Drosophila melanogaster: one gene and its partner. The protein of the gene in region 2 interacts with the protein of the main gene of each other region in a pairwise test. Each region holds a gene or a part of one and is shown on either strand. Other genes may lie near its edges. The genes, in order: CG42709 and MP1.

Region 1 (7,662 bases), on a different chromosome or scaffold from region 2:
TCGAATCTCACCTAGTTGCACGAGGAAGAGTCTAACGGTATCCTCGCTGAGCGTCCCCTTGACACTCAGATAATCCGCCAAGTCGCCGCCATTGCAATACTGTAAAGAGAAAGGATGAAGAGCGTGAGTGGAGCTGATTGGGAAATTAAATTAAGAGAGACCCCCACGAGTCAAGAGTTCAGCGCGCATATAAATCTTCTGGGACCCCAAAAGACCTCAAAAGCAGAATGCAACCCATGCAAACGAATTAAGTCCAATCAGTGCGAAAATGAAAGAGTCCCGAGATTTGATTCAGTCGGTCTTTCCATCTTTTAGCTTCCAGCTGCTCGCTCGACTTTTGTGCAAATCCCAGTCAATCATAGAAAACGGCAAGGTCAAAGCGAATATGATTTATGGCAATTTTCTGAATCAAGAACTGGAATTAGGGAAATATGTTTATGGATCAGCCCAGACAGCCAGCTGCTTTTCTTTTGTCGTTTGCCCAACAAAGGTTCTGTTCCGGTTTATGTCAGCAGATGCGGAGAAAGAGTTGGGGTAAAAATAAGCTATAGAATATTGAATATGCTAGGGGAATTTACACTTGGAATTTTAAATACACTTCCATGTAATCTTTAATCTTTGAAGTAAAGCACCAGTTAGGTTTTTTAAAAATGCCCGTTCACTGCAGTGATTTTTCCATACTCATTTGAGAATAATTAATAATTTTCTCTTTTAATATATAATATAATATAATATTATAATAATAAGCCATTGATAAAGTATATGATAGTGAATGCTAAACAAAAGGCAACAAAATGTTCAAATAAAATATAAACCTCTAAGCATTCGAAAACAGCAAAAAGGAATATCAGTTATCATGAAGAAGTTTTTGAAAAACTTGAAAATGAAAATAGAATATCCCGATATGGGAGAACTTTGTAAGCAGCCCTCGCTAAAATGTAAATGAAGAGAACGAACCCCTGTCTCTCCAAAATGCCGTTATATTTTTGGCCTGAGCAAGTTGCCTAAAAGGATTTGCGATTTTTGACCTTGAGGCCGCCAATCGAAGACATGACTATAGAATTCCACACGAACACAACCACCAAAAACCAACAAAAGTAATGTGCGCGGCGAACATTTTTATCCGCTTTTATGGATTTTTTGTTTTTCATGAGAAAATATATGGACCACTTACAGTTTAATGAGCAAACAAAGCAACATTAGGCAATTAAACAGCCAATTTGAAATGACAAAAGATTTCACTGCACTCGCTTTTTGTGAAATCGCTAAAATCGCCGAAGAGAAGCGAAGAGCGAAGAACATTAAACAAAAAGTCATTGACATGTAAAGTACATAAACATAAACATAAAAGTAAAAGTTTGAAGGAAATGGTGGAATACTCGCAACGAAGAGGGTTTTTCTTCCTCTGGGGCTTTTTAACAATTTCTAAATTATATGCAATGCCATTTCCCGGCAACAAGTGCCCATGAGTCAGCGATTTATTGAAAAATGCACTTGCGTAATTAATGGGCTTCTCTGTTTTTTCTTTCTTTTTTAAATATTATTTTGAAGAATCAAGTGTGAAGAGAGCGATTCGAAAGCTAAGAGAAGACTCTCTTCAGCCGCTCTATTTCAACTTACTCAATTTTTAAGCTCGCAACTTCTGCGGTTCCGTTCGCAGCTCATTCTCAAATCGACGGTGGCATGAGTCGCACGTTATCGCGCGACAACAAAAAGCCAAGTTAGCAAATCATTAAGTATAATTTAAACGCGATACTCCTCCATTCAGTAGAATTCGATGAGAAAACTCTCTAGTGTAATACCCAATTTAGTACATATATTATCGAGAAAAACGACGACGCGTGTCATTCGAAGTAAGCGCAGTGGACTAAAGGTCAACATATTCTAGGCGATAAAAAGAACGCTGCTGCTATACATTGTTCATCGCAATCACAACACAAAGACCTAGAAACGGGATTAAAACAAGAGTTTAACTTAGCACTCGGTGAAACAAATATTCAAACAAACTTTTCACTCAAATCACGTCCAATTTAATCGCTATGATTCAGCCAGCCAAGTGTTTCACATTTTTCCAGCAAATTATGTAAATAAACTGTGAAAGCTTCCCTTTTTTCATATCAAAAGGCGGGCCGACCGACTTATAAGTCAAGTCCAAAGCAAAGTTCATTACGATCGGCGTTAATTCTAATCAGACAAGTGTGTAATTAATTTTATTAATATTACAAGCCGTCCTAAAGATTTCTTTGTACTTCCAAATCTGCTGCTTAAGTTATTATGTTGAAAATATGGCAATTGAAATTTTAATTTCTAATGTGATGTAATGCTTATTAATTAAGATAGGATTACCCAAACCGATTAGCCTTTATTTACGGTGCTTAAAGTGTGAGTTTGCTCTTTCTGTTTTCATTGAAAACATGAATTCCATAATTGTTACTATTGATAATAATCGATTAGTAAGTCAGAAGTTGGTTAAAAGCTAAGCAGAAATCGCGAGGGTATGAGACAAAGCAATTAAATATTAAAAACTGATAAGATAACCACGGCTAAACATTAAACTTAACATGAGAGAGTTTGGAAGAGAGAGTGAGAGTAAAGAAAAAGAGATAATATTTGCCGCTCTTCGAAGCTCTCACACACACACCTGTTCAGTCAGTCGAACGGAATGGGAATTGTTGGCGAATTTTTGCTCATTCGAGAATCGGCAGCGAGTGGAAAAGTTTGTGCGAGCGGAGTGAAAAATAATTATTTTACTTTTGCCAAAAGTAAGCCGGCAAATGTAAATGGACATTAATCAACTTTGAAGCTGTAATTTCAAAGCAAAACAGATGAATATTAAAAGTGCAAAGTGAAACGAGAATAGCGGTGCAAAAATAGGCCCCTAACACCTAATAAAATCTATTTTCAGCTTGAAAATTTTCACATCAAGTTTGGCAAAAACGACGAAAATGCTATGAAAACCCTGAGATAAACACAAATACAAACAACACGACGCCTTGAAGACGCAGTGAAAACAAAGCTAAACAAATATCAGTAAACAAATAATTCATAATAATGCACGTGTACTACAAGTTTGGATTACTGCTGATATTTTTGCTAAGCGTGAGGTAAAAATCAAGTTGTAATAAATATTTACAGATCTCGATATGTGGAGAAATCACATTTGTTATTCTTATGGGGCTGGAAAATAAGTAATCCATTTATTTATAGAAATCAGTAGACCCTTTCCTAAAAACGAAAAACAGGGAAGACACGGGGCAAAGTTTCCGTTTAGCAACATTCGCAGTGATTAATTCACTAAAAACGAAATAACGACAGGTGAACCAGGGTAACGGGACTTTGACCCGCCCACAACTGAGATATCAATGCCAAATGGAATACTCACGCATGGGGTTATAAAAAAAAAACAGCAACATTTTATTGATAGTCCACGGCAACCGCTCTTAATTGCCGCCTTTAATATATATATAAGGTGCACGAATTTACACTCTACTTAATCATATCGCATAATCTGGTTCTGATAAAAATAATAACAATTCCCCGGTTGTCCGATAATTTATACCGTTATTGCTTATCAAATTGTTTGCTCAGCGTTTTGAATTTCTCAACCAATATCTCAAGCAATATTGCAAATGACATAGAAATTTATAACTGTCTCGATTTTCAGATTTTTCTTTTAATTTACAACTGAAACGAGGTTTAGACATTATCGATTATGTATAAATATTCTATATTCTTGCCCTAAAAAAAATCTTTTTAAATACTTCTGAGTTTTAAAACCTAAGATAAAATTCTTTAATCGTTCTTTGCATGTTAGTACTAGTATAATTTTCCCAGTGCACATAAGCCCATTTCTCTATTGATTTTTGGGCCTTTTTAAACCTTTTCAGCCACTCGAAATCAAATGTCAAAGTAGAGTGCTTTTAAGTGCGACGCTTCCAATTTTAGTCACTTCATTCAAGTAGTCAAGGGAATTACGTCGACTAGGTCGTCATGCTTAGTAACAGTTTAGAGATCTTTCGTAATACCCATTAACTTCGGCGAGCAGCTGAAGCTTGAAGGCAATTCGTAACGTTCGATAAATATATCTTTATTATCCGGTAGGACTATATACCAATTAATAGCTACATATCAGCACTTGCGGTTCAAGTACTCGACTCTATAAAGTCGTTCATTCTGTTCATTTTGGCACTTTTAAGGATTGACAAGGCTCCTCAGCAGCATTCATTGAAACTTCACTCAAAAGTCACGCAATTGAAGAGAACTCTACATGGCAGTCAAAAGACTCACTTGAACTACTCTACTAGCCAATTTACACCTTTTTTTCTAAAAGTAAATACAACCCACTAGAACTGAAGTCGCCGAATGCACGGATAACGAACGATTTAGAATCAGACAAAAAAAAAAATGAAGAGGGGTCACAAATGACAGCAAAAAAATAAAATAAATCTGAAAAAAGTGAGAGTAAACGAAATCGTAAACTAAAACCGGTCGAGTTGTCTCTTTTGCCATGAAGTAAACTGGTTTCATCTGTGCTTTTTACTGAGTAGCTACAGTACGTTTCGAAAATGTAAGGTCAGTTAACAGAAACAAATAAACAACTTTACAGACAATAAAAGTGCTTGAGTTACAATAAAAGAAATGTGTGCTTTCTTTATTTTCTTTAGCTTGAAAGTATATCTATTTGATTTTACTTTATTCTTAAAAAACGAAAGGCAAAATATATTTTACAATATATGCATAATCTAATGAATTGCATTAAGAAGCCTTGTATCATTGAATACTTTTAATTCATTTAAGGGCTATTGCTGTGACCACGACTGTAGCGAGAAATACTTTGTATGTAGGCTTGTTCGCACATGTGAGTGTATTCATTCATGTTCTTTCGCGGAGCAAACATAAACAATAGCCGTATAATGATAGTGGGGAAAACGAATGTTTCTGTGTGGCTATGGCGTGGTCATAACGATATGGGTCAAGAGCGTTTTCAGGACAAATTAGCTAGGTGTGTTCGCCTTCAAGACGTGAGTGATGTAAGCACGTACCGCTTAGAACCCACCGACAATCTAAAGCCAAATATTGACAATTTTGGGTATTTGGTAAAACCACTTAACGAATTCGTACAGTAATTGCTCTATCAGAAATGCGCATTCGTTTGACATATAATTGCCCTGCGTTTTTCTTCATAAGCAATGTGAATTCGTTTATAAGTCGTGGAAAAAACCAAATTGGTATATTGTTGGTTTATTCAGTCGAGACCGGAAAATAATTTAATGATTACTCTTACAGCATCAGCCACACAAATGCCGCTCCAGCGGGCAGTGAGGAGGCAAATCCCCTCGAGGACTTTAATTACGGCGATGATGACTACAGTGAAACAGCGACGGGCGAGGAATCGCCGGAGACAGCAGAAAATAGACTGATGCCACAATCATCCTCCACATCGACCACCACCACATTTCGACCAATATTTAGTGAGCATAACATAAATCTATATATTCCGAACTGAAAAGGCTAATGAATATCGTTTTGCAGATATACCACGACGCAGCAACCATGTCCTGGAGCCCAGTTGCCCGCGCAACTGCCTCTGCCTGGAGGACTTCAAGTTCGTTCAGTGTGCCAATGCCCATTTGACCCATGTACCCCTGGACATGCCCAAAACGGCGGCCATCATCGATCTGAGCCATAATGTGATTGCCGAACTGAGGCCGGAGGATTTTGCCAATCTGTCCAGGGCGGTGGAAATCAATTTGAATCACAATCTGATCAGCAGCATAGACAAGGATGTAAGTGCCCAGCTAATTCTACTAATTAGATAAATTGTAACTAATGTGCTTATTATCTATTGTAGGTCTTTCAGGGATCGGAGCGTTTGAAGCGCCTGCGGCTGGCCAACAACCGTCTAACCAAAATCGATCCCGACACCTTTGCGGCGGCCAAGGAACTAACGCTACTCGATTTGAGCAACAACACCATAACCCAGCGCCTGGACGGATCCTTCTTGAACCAGCCCGACTTGGTGGAGTTCAGCTGCGTCAACTGCAGCTGGACGGAACTGCCGGAACAGACGTTCCAGAACATGAGTGGCCTGGAGGTGTTGCGCTTGAACAAGAACGATTTTAAACAGGTAAGAATGGCGAGCCAAAAGTGCGATAGCACAAGTTATCGCTCTATCGATAGTTGGCGCAACTGAAGCCAAAACAGCTGTGTTTGCCATCGCGCAGTTGTCTATATAGTTGTCCCGCTCACGCTTTTCCATTCCGACAGCAAATCAATACGAAAGCTTTCTCGCCGCTAACAAAAATAATTAAACTGAAGCTGCCGGAACTGGAACAACAGAACATCGAGGAGCTGTGCAGCCTGCTGACCTCCATCGACACGATTAGCTTCCTCAACTACGACATCAGCTGCTACGAATTCGTACTGGGCACCCCCTTCAACGGCAGTCTCATCTATCCCACGGAGCCGCCGCTCAAGGGGATTACAAATCCGCCCATCGTCGCCAGCATCACCAGCACTGCAAAGCCAGTGACCGCCACACCCGCACCGCCCAGAAGTGGTGAGCTATTTCCCATGACTCGTAGATCATCTTGCTAACGTGTCTGTTGCTCACCTCCCATTGTTCGCATTTAGCCAATCGCAATCGGGGCAAAATGGACAACAGCACGGAGCTGGTCAAAGCCGGAATCCTGAGCTCCGAGACCAGCACAAGCGGAGTCAGCGTGGAGCCGCCTGCCGAGAGCCAGACCAATCAGGTGCAGATCTCCCAGGAGGCCATCAACACGCTGCTCATCTGTGAGTACAAACTGCGGTTTAAGGTTTATAACATCAACTATTTTAAGCATCTTGCTAAACAGTTATAGTTTGAGTTATACACCTTTTACTTGCGGTACAAAACCAGACTAATTTGTTCAATTTAATCCACTAGGCATCATGGTTCTGGCCGTGATTGGCATCGTCATCGGACTCATTTGCCGCCAGGATATTGGCGGCATCAAAACCAAATGCTGCCGCACTAGCAAACCAGAGCCAAAGGATCAGGTTCATCCCACTGAGGAGATACCACTGAATAAGCTAGCCTAAGAAAACTTTCCAAAACAAACCGAAACCAAACGATCGAAGATGAAAAGAGAATCCTATCCTTCTCCTCCAGTTTCGAGAACAAATTCCATTTTGACGGCATTTTTGATAGATTATAAATAGGTATATGTATATCACGTATGTATATGGCTAGTTAGTTAACTACTTTGACGCGGTATCTAGCCTAACTATATAGTCTCTCCTACAATGTTTCCCGCACAACAACTGAACCGAATCCGTTGTTAGATTCTAGTTGTTAGTCGGAGTAGGTTAAGCCGCCTAGTCGCTTAGCGTTCTGTTCTTTAGGGGGACTCGGTAAATGGGATCCCGCACCAAAACTCCTGGCACTGTTCTAGTTTTAGATCCCAAAATCAATTTTCATCGCAACACTTAAATTAATGTAAACCCATAGATACACTAGTTGTTAGCTTTAGACTTTTGCCAAAATACAATAAAAGTAATTATTGTACATAGTAAAAAAAAAGAAAACCATTGTTTTGAATTATGAAACCAAAAGATTAAAAAGATTACATCTGATAGACTTGATTATTTACCTATATACTCTCCTCATATCACATTCCT
Region 2 (4,666 bases):
CTGCAAAAGTCTACAGAGGTCTTGCAAGCTATGCAGAGCCTGGTGCGCTATCCAGAGCTTGCAGGCATCATGCGCGACATGTCAAAGGAAATGATGAAGGCCGGCATTATTGAGGAGATGCTAGACGAGACCATGGACTCGCTGGAGGAGTCCGAGGAGCTGGAGGAGGAGGCAAGCAAGGAGGTGGACAAGGTTTTGTGGGAGATCACAGATGGCAAGCTCGGGGAAGCTCCCCTGCCTCCAGAGGCTACACCGGCGGACAAGGCGTCTGCGTCTGCTGCGCGCGTCGAGGCTGAGCAGGACGATGAGGAGGGTGAGGAACTGCAAGAGATGCAAAGCCGCCTGGCCTCGCTGCGATCTTAAAACAACTGCTATGGGTATTTTATTTAGATTTGAAATTAAAGGCAAGTGATTTTGACTGGCAGACCTTATCAAAATCATAAACGGCAACCCCCACGCCGTCATTTGATTGTAGAAACCAAAATAATCTCCAGAAACTTGAATTGAGTTTTTATATTATAAGTGTACAGTACACCAGATCAAGAAGTGTTGAACTCTGCGCGTTTTACCGTTGAATCTACACGAGATAACTTAATTTATTGTAAAATCTACCTTTCATTAAAAATCGATATTTACTGTGGCATGTCCCATTTTACAATGGTAATCTGCACGATTTACGATCAATCCCTAAGAATGTTAATTTTCGTCATTTAAGATTAAGCCCTAACGTTGTTTTCTATCCAGTTCAGATACGCTTCAACCCTTGTGTACACGCCGGGCCATCCTTTTAGGCCACAGGGCGTGGGTCCGTAGGAGACCACACCAGCAATGTAGTAGTTTGAGTTTCCATTGGAGTAGTCCTCGAGCAGAAGGGGGCCACCCGAGTCCCCGCGACAGGAATCAACCCCCTCAACTCCGCCGGCGCACATCTGTTTGGTGGTGACAGTCCTTCTTTGGGTGGCGTATCTTTGGTTGCATTCGGACGTCGGTACCGTATCCAACTCAGCCTTCAGCTTGATATTGGACGTAAAATTTGTCTCCGTGCGACCCCACCCTGCCACCACCACCTTTCGGCCAAGGAATATATTGTTGTGCTGGGACGCTAAAGTGGGCAGACATACTGGTAATATGAAGTCGCTGTACTGAACCTCGTCCCGCAATCGCAGCAACGCAATGTCATTTAGCTGGTCCCGTGAGTTTCCCGGGTACTGCGGGTGCGGAATACGCTCCTCAACAGGGTAGTCTACGTACGGTTCGTTGCAGTCCCGTCGTCCGTTTTTACCGACTGTGCAATCCGGATTGGTGCTCGCATCCCACTCACCCAGGCGTACTCCCGTCAGCTCCCAATCACTGGGAATAGCCGAGACGCAGTGTGCCGCCGTCAGAACGTAACGATGGTTGATTAGAGATCCGCCGCAGTGGTGACCTTTCACGTTACCGGCTGGTAAAATGGGGGGGGGGGGGGATTAGTCCCTGCAGCAGGGAATATTTTGGTTACTCACGCTTCGTGTACTCTATTAGGGCCATCCAAGGAAACTCCCTCTTTGTCGTCTCGTTACCACCCACCACTCGGTCTCCAAAGTTTTCACCGCAATTGGGCGCCATTGGTAACAGTTTGGTCCCAGAGCGTTTTGTAGGCTTAGTGGTCTGAGTAGGTTGAGGATGATTTCCCCACTGAGGTTGCTGGTTTCGCATTCGGCTGTTTGCACAGCAAATCTGAACATTGGTAAAACAAAAATGTTTTTCCTAAATTGATAAAAGTTGATAATAAGAATGCATGGTGGCGTCGCATCGAAAAGCGATTCGATGCGATAGCCATAAGTAAAAGAATTAATTTATATATATGTTCAATGGATGAAAATGATCTTAATCGATTTTAGCACCACAACTTTTTAAGGGGGTACTAACAAGCACTTGTCCATTCCGGTAGCCACATTGGCTGGCTTGCAGAAATCGACGGTCCTGTTCCGTAACCTCTTCGCTTTGAAGCAGTTCGAATAGGTATCCACATTCCCGGAGGTTTATGCAGGTGCCGCTGTTCTCATCAGGCGTTCTACAATACCCAAAGATTTCTGAAAAAAAAAAACGTAAATCGTAAAGCCCGGTTCAAAGATAGTCGTGATTAACAGCGGGAACGGGATTTCTGCGTTCTGGGACCAGCCCACTGTGACTATCATCGACTCAGCCCGACTCGGGGTGAAGTTCACCGCTGATAGGAGGTTGCTTTGTGTTTTGATGCCAGCAACCCCCGACTACGACTGAGAGCCAAAACCACTTGCCTTGTGCGTAAGTGCTGCTTGTTCCCATCAATAGCATCCACAGTACGGTGAAAAAAAAGTGCGGTTCCATGGTTATATCTTCGACTGTACTATAGCACTGTACTTGGAAGAACGATACGCTGACAGAGCGCCTGCCGAGAACACACTGAATGTGGCTATAAACTGGAATGCGATCGAGCTCTAAGTTACAGCTTATCAGCGGTTCTCTCACAGAGAATGGTTCAACCTGAGGAAGCACACCAGCATTAAGAGAGTGCAAGTCTGGGTTTATCTCAGGGTCTGGTTTTGGGCACACCCATACTGGCGAAAAAGCCCGCTCTCAATGTTGGGTCCGCTCTTTATGCGTTGCTCATCAGGGAACTTCCCACGCCAACAGAATGCAGATGATACTTACCCTCTTCTCCTAGGGCTGAAATATCTTGGGTCGGACGATATCTGTAAGTCCATACGGGCCAATCCATTAAAAAATCTGGCAAACCCACTTTATTAACAGAGAGTGAATTTTCACATTCAAACATTTGCAAACCCTCTGTAAAAACAATTTCTGTAAAACATAATAATCGAATATTTTGAAAAATATCAAAATTAAACATTACCAATCTTTTTTTGTAGCCAGATACATAAAATCTTTGAAAATAATTAGGAGAAACTTAGGAAAATATCCTAAAGTAGTTTCCATAATCAATTTTTCTAACTTCGTATATATTCTCTAAACTTCATTAATAGGTATTTAAAACGATTGTACTACTATACTATTATACTTATTTTATCGTTAAGATTCCAGAGAAATACAGTAACCTTAAGTTTTTTAAGTATTGTTAGAAAAATAACAAGAGAGAATGCGAGTTCCCCGACTATCCGATACCCGTTACTCAGCTAGTGTGAATGCGAACGCGAAATTTCATAATTTTTCTGGGATATCAATAGGTATTGGGGAATAAAATGAGAAAAAAAAAATTAATAATTGTTCAAAAGTAGGGCGTGACCGGCTTTAGCTGCTTTAGGGCGTGGCAAAAAGTTTTTTGCCAAATAAATAGAAAATTTACAAGACTAATAAAATTATGAAAAAATATCGAACAATTTTTCAAAATTGTGGGCGTGGCAGTTATGTGCGGTTTAAGGTACTTGCAGTGGGCGTGGCAAGGAAAATAACACATTTTTCAAAAGTGTGGCAACATGGGACAACAAACTTGCGCTGCGCCTGTGACAGACGGACATGGCTTGATCGACTCGGCTATTGATCCTGATTAAGAATATATATACTTTATATAGTCGGAAACGCTTCCATGCGTACATGTAGTTTGTACTTTTCAAAGAATTTATTATACCCTTTTACTCTACGCGTAACTGGTATAAAAAGAACTGAGGTTATGTACTCCATAAGCCAATATAGTTTCAGAAGTGGACGTCCAAGGAGTCACTTTGTTATTCAATTTAATTTCCATGATTTTCTAATCTTTTCTAATCATTTAAATTCATAAATATACAAGCATACCACTTCAATTTGTAATGATATATGAAATTGTTTTAAGTGCTTTTAAATTGTCGTGAGGCGGTTACAAAGCGTTGAGTAGAGCAAAGGCATTATGTCGAATAATTCTACTTCTTATGTCTTTTGGTTGGGTATGGTAATATCGACAGGGCTAGTGATCTTGGTGAAGAAAGCGAATATTTGTGAGGGTTACATCCTTACATTTTACGAGTTTTGGTAAAATAAGACATTATTTTAAAATTGTGACATTGTTTTATCTAGACTGTTTCCGTTTCCGACAGCGTAGTAATTTGCAATTGCAATGTACAGAAAACTTTAAACAGACGCGGCATTATGATGATTGGCTATAAGCTGTAAATGTAGCCTTCGCCAAAAGTAAGAAAGAAATGATTTCAATTTGTTTCAAGCGCTTTTAAGTTAAGGCCGAGTGGCCAAGATGCGAACGAAAAGCACTTAGGCGAACAGTCCCTCAGTTGGCAGTTACCATCTTCCTTCAGAACAGATGCCTCTCGCCCTATCGTTTGCTTAGTGGCCATTAGTTTGCTGATTTAATGCCGTTGCCCACTTCAAGAAAGAGTGGACGTCGTCAATTTTACCATTTCATTTGACAATGCATTTCATTAGGGGTTACCTCCGGCTTATCTTTGAGCTGAACTTCTGACTACTCGTATTAAATTAAATTGGAATCTGCGGGGTAGCAAGAGAATTGCCGTTCCTGACGTTGTGGTTTTGGGCTAATAAACGCCGCTGTTCACACTTCGCTAACTGCAAAGTGTTCTAGCGGTGACACGTGGGGTCTTTCCTTTGTATAATTAAAGGCCGCTCCTACAATATTTATAAGATGATGTCTGTCACTCTACTGGTTTTGCACGAATCTTAAATAATCCTGAATGAC

What was found.
Region 1: the proteins of MP1 (region 2) and CG42709 interact in a two-hybrid assay, tested with the Drosophila melanogaster proteins (one large-scale study listed by BioGRID).

Annotation. Positions count from the first base shown.
Region 1 is NT_037436.4:12,788,530-12,796,191, forward strand, and holds CG42709 (uncharacterized protein), read left to right. Parts: upstream 1-1,662; 5' UTR 1,663-1,853; intron 1,854-2,688; exon of another isoform or gene 2,689-2,905; 5' UTR 2,906-3,051; coding exon 3,052-3,104; intron 3,105-5,286; coding exon 5,287-5,471; intron 5,472-5,532; coding exon 5,533-5,786; intron 5,787-5,851; coding exon 5,852-6,127; intron 6,128-6,267; coding exon 6,268-6,559; intron 6,560-6,633; coding exon 6,634-6,795; intron 6,796-6,928; coding exon 6,929-7,083; 3' UTR 7,084-7,555; downstream 7,556-7,662. Other genes in the region: Atg1 (Autophagy-related 1), read right to left, coding at 12-99.
Region 2 is NT_033777.3:4,305,670-4,310,335, reverse strand, and holds MP1 (melanization protease 1), read right to left. Parts: upstream 2,429-4,666; 5' UTR 2,350-2,428; coding exon 2,280-2,349; exon of another isoform or gene 2,073-2,279; coding exon 1,909-2,072; coding exon of another isoform or gene 1,882-1,908; exon of another isoform or gene 1,747-1,881; coding exon 1,503-1,746; exon of another isoform or gene 1,442-1,502; coding exon 717-1,441; 3' UTR 501-716; downstream 1-500. Other genes in the region: Vps24 (vacuolar protein sorting 24), read left to right, coding at 1-363. UniProt on the Drosophila melanogaster protein: Serine protease which plays an essential role in the melanization immune response by acting downstream of sp7 to activate prophenoloxidase (PPO1).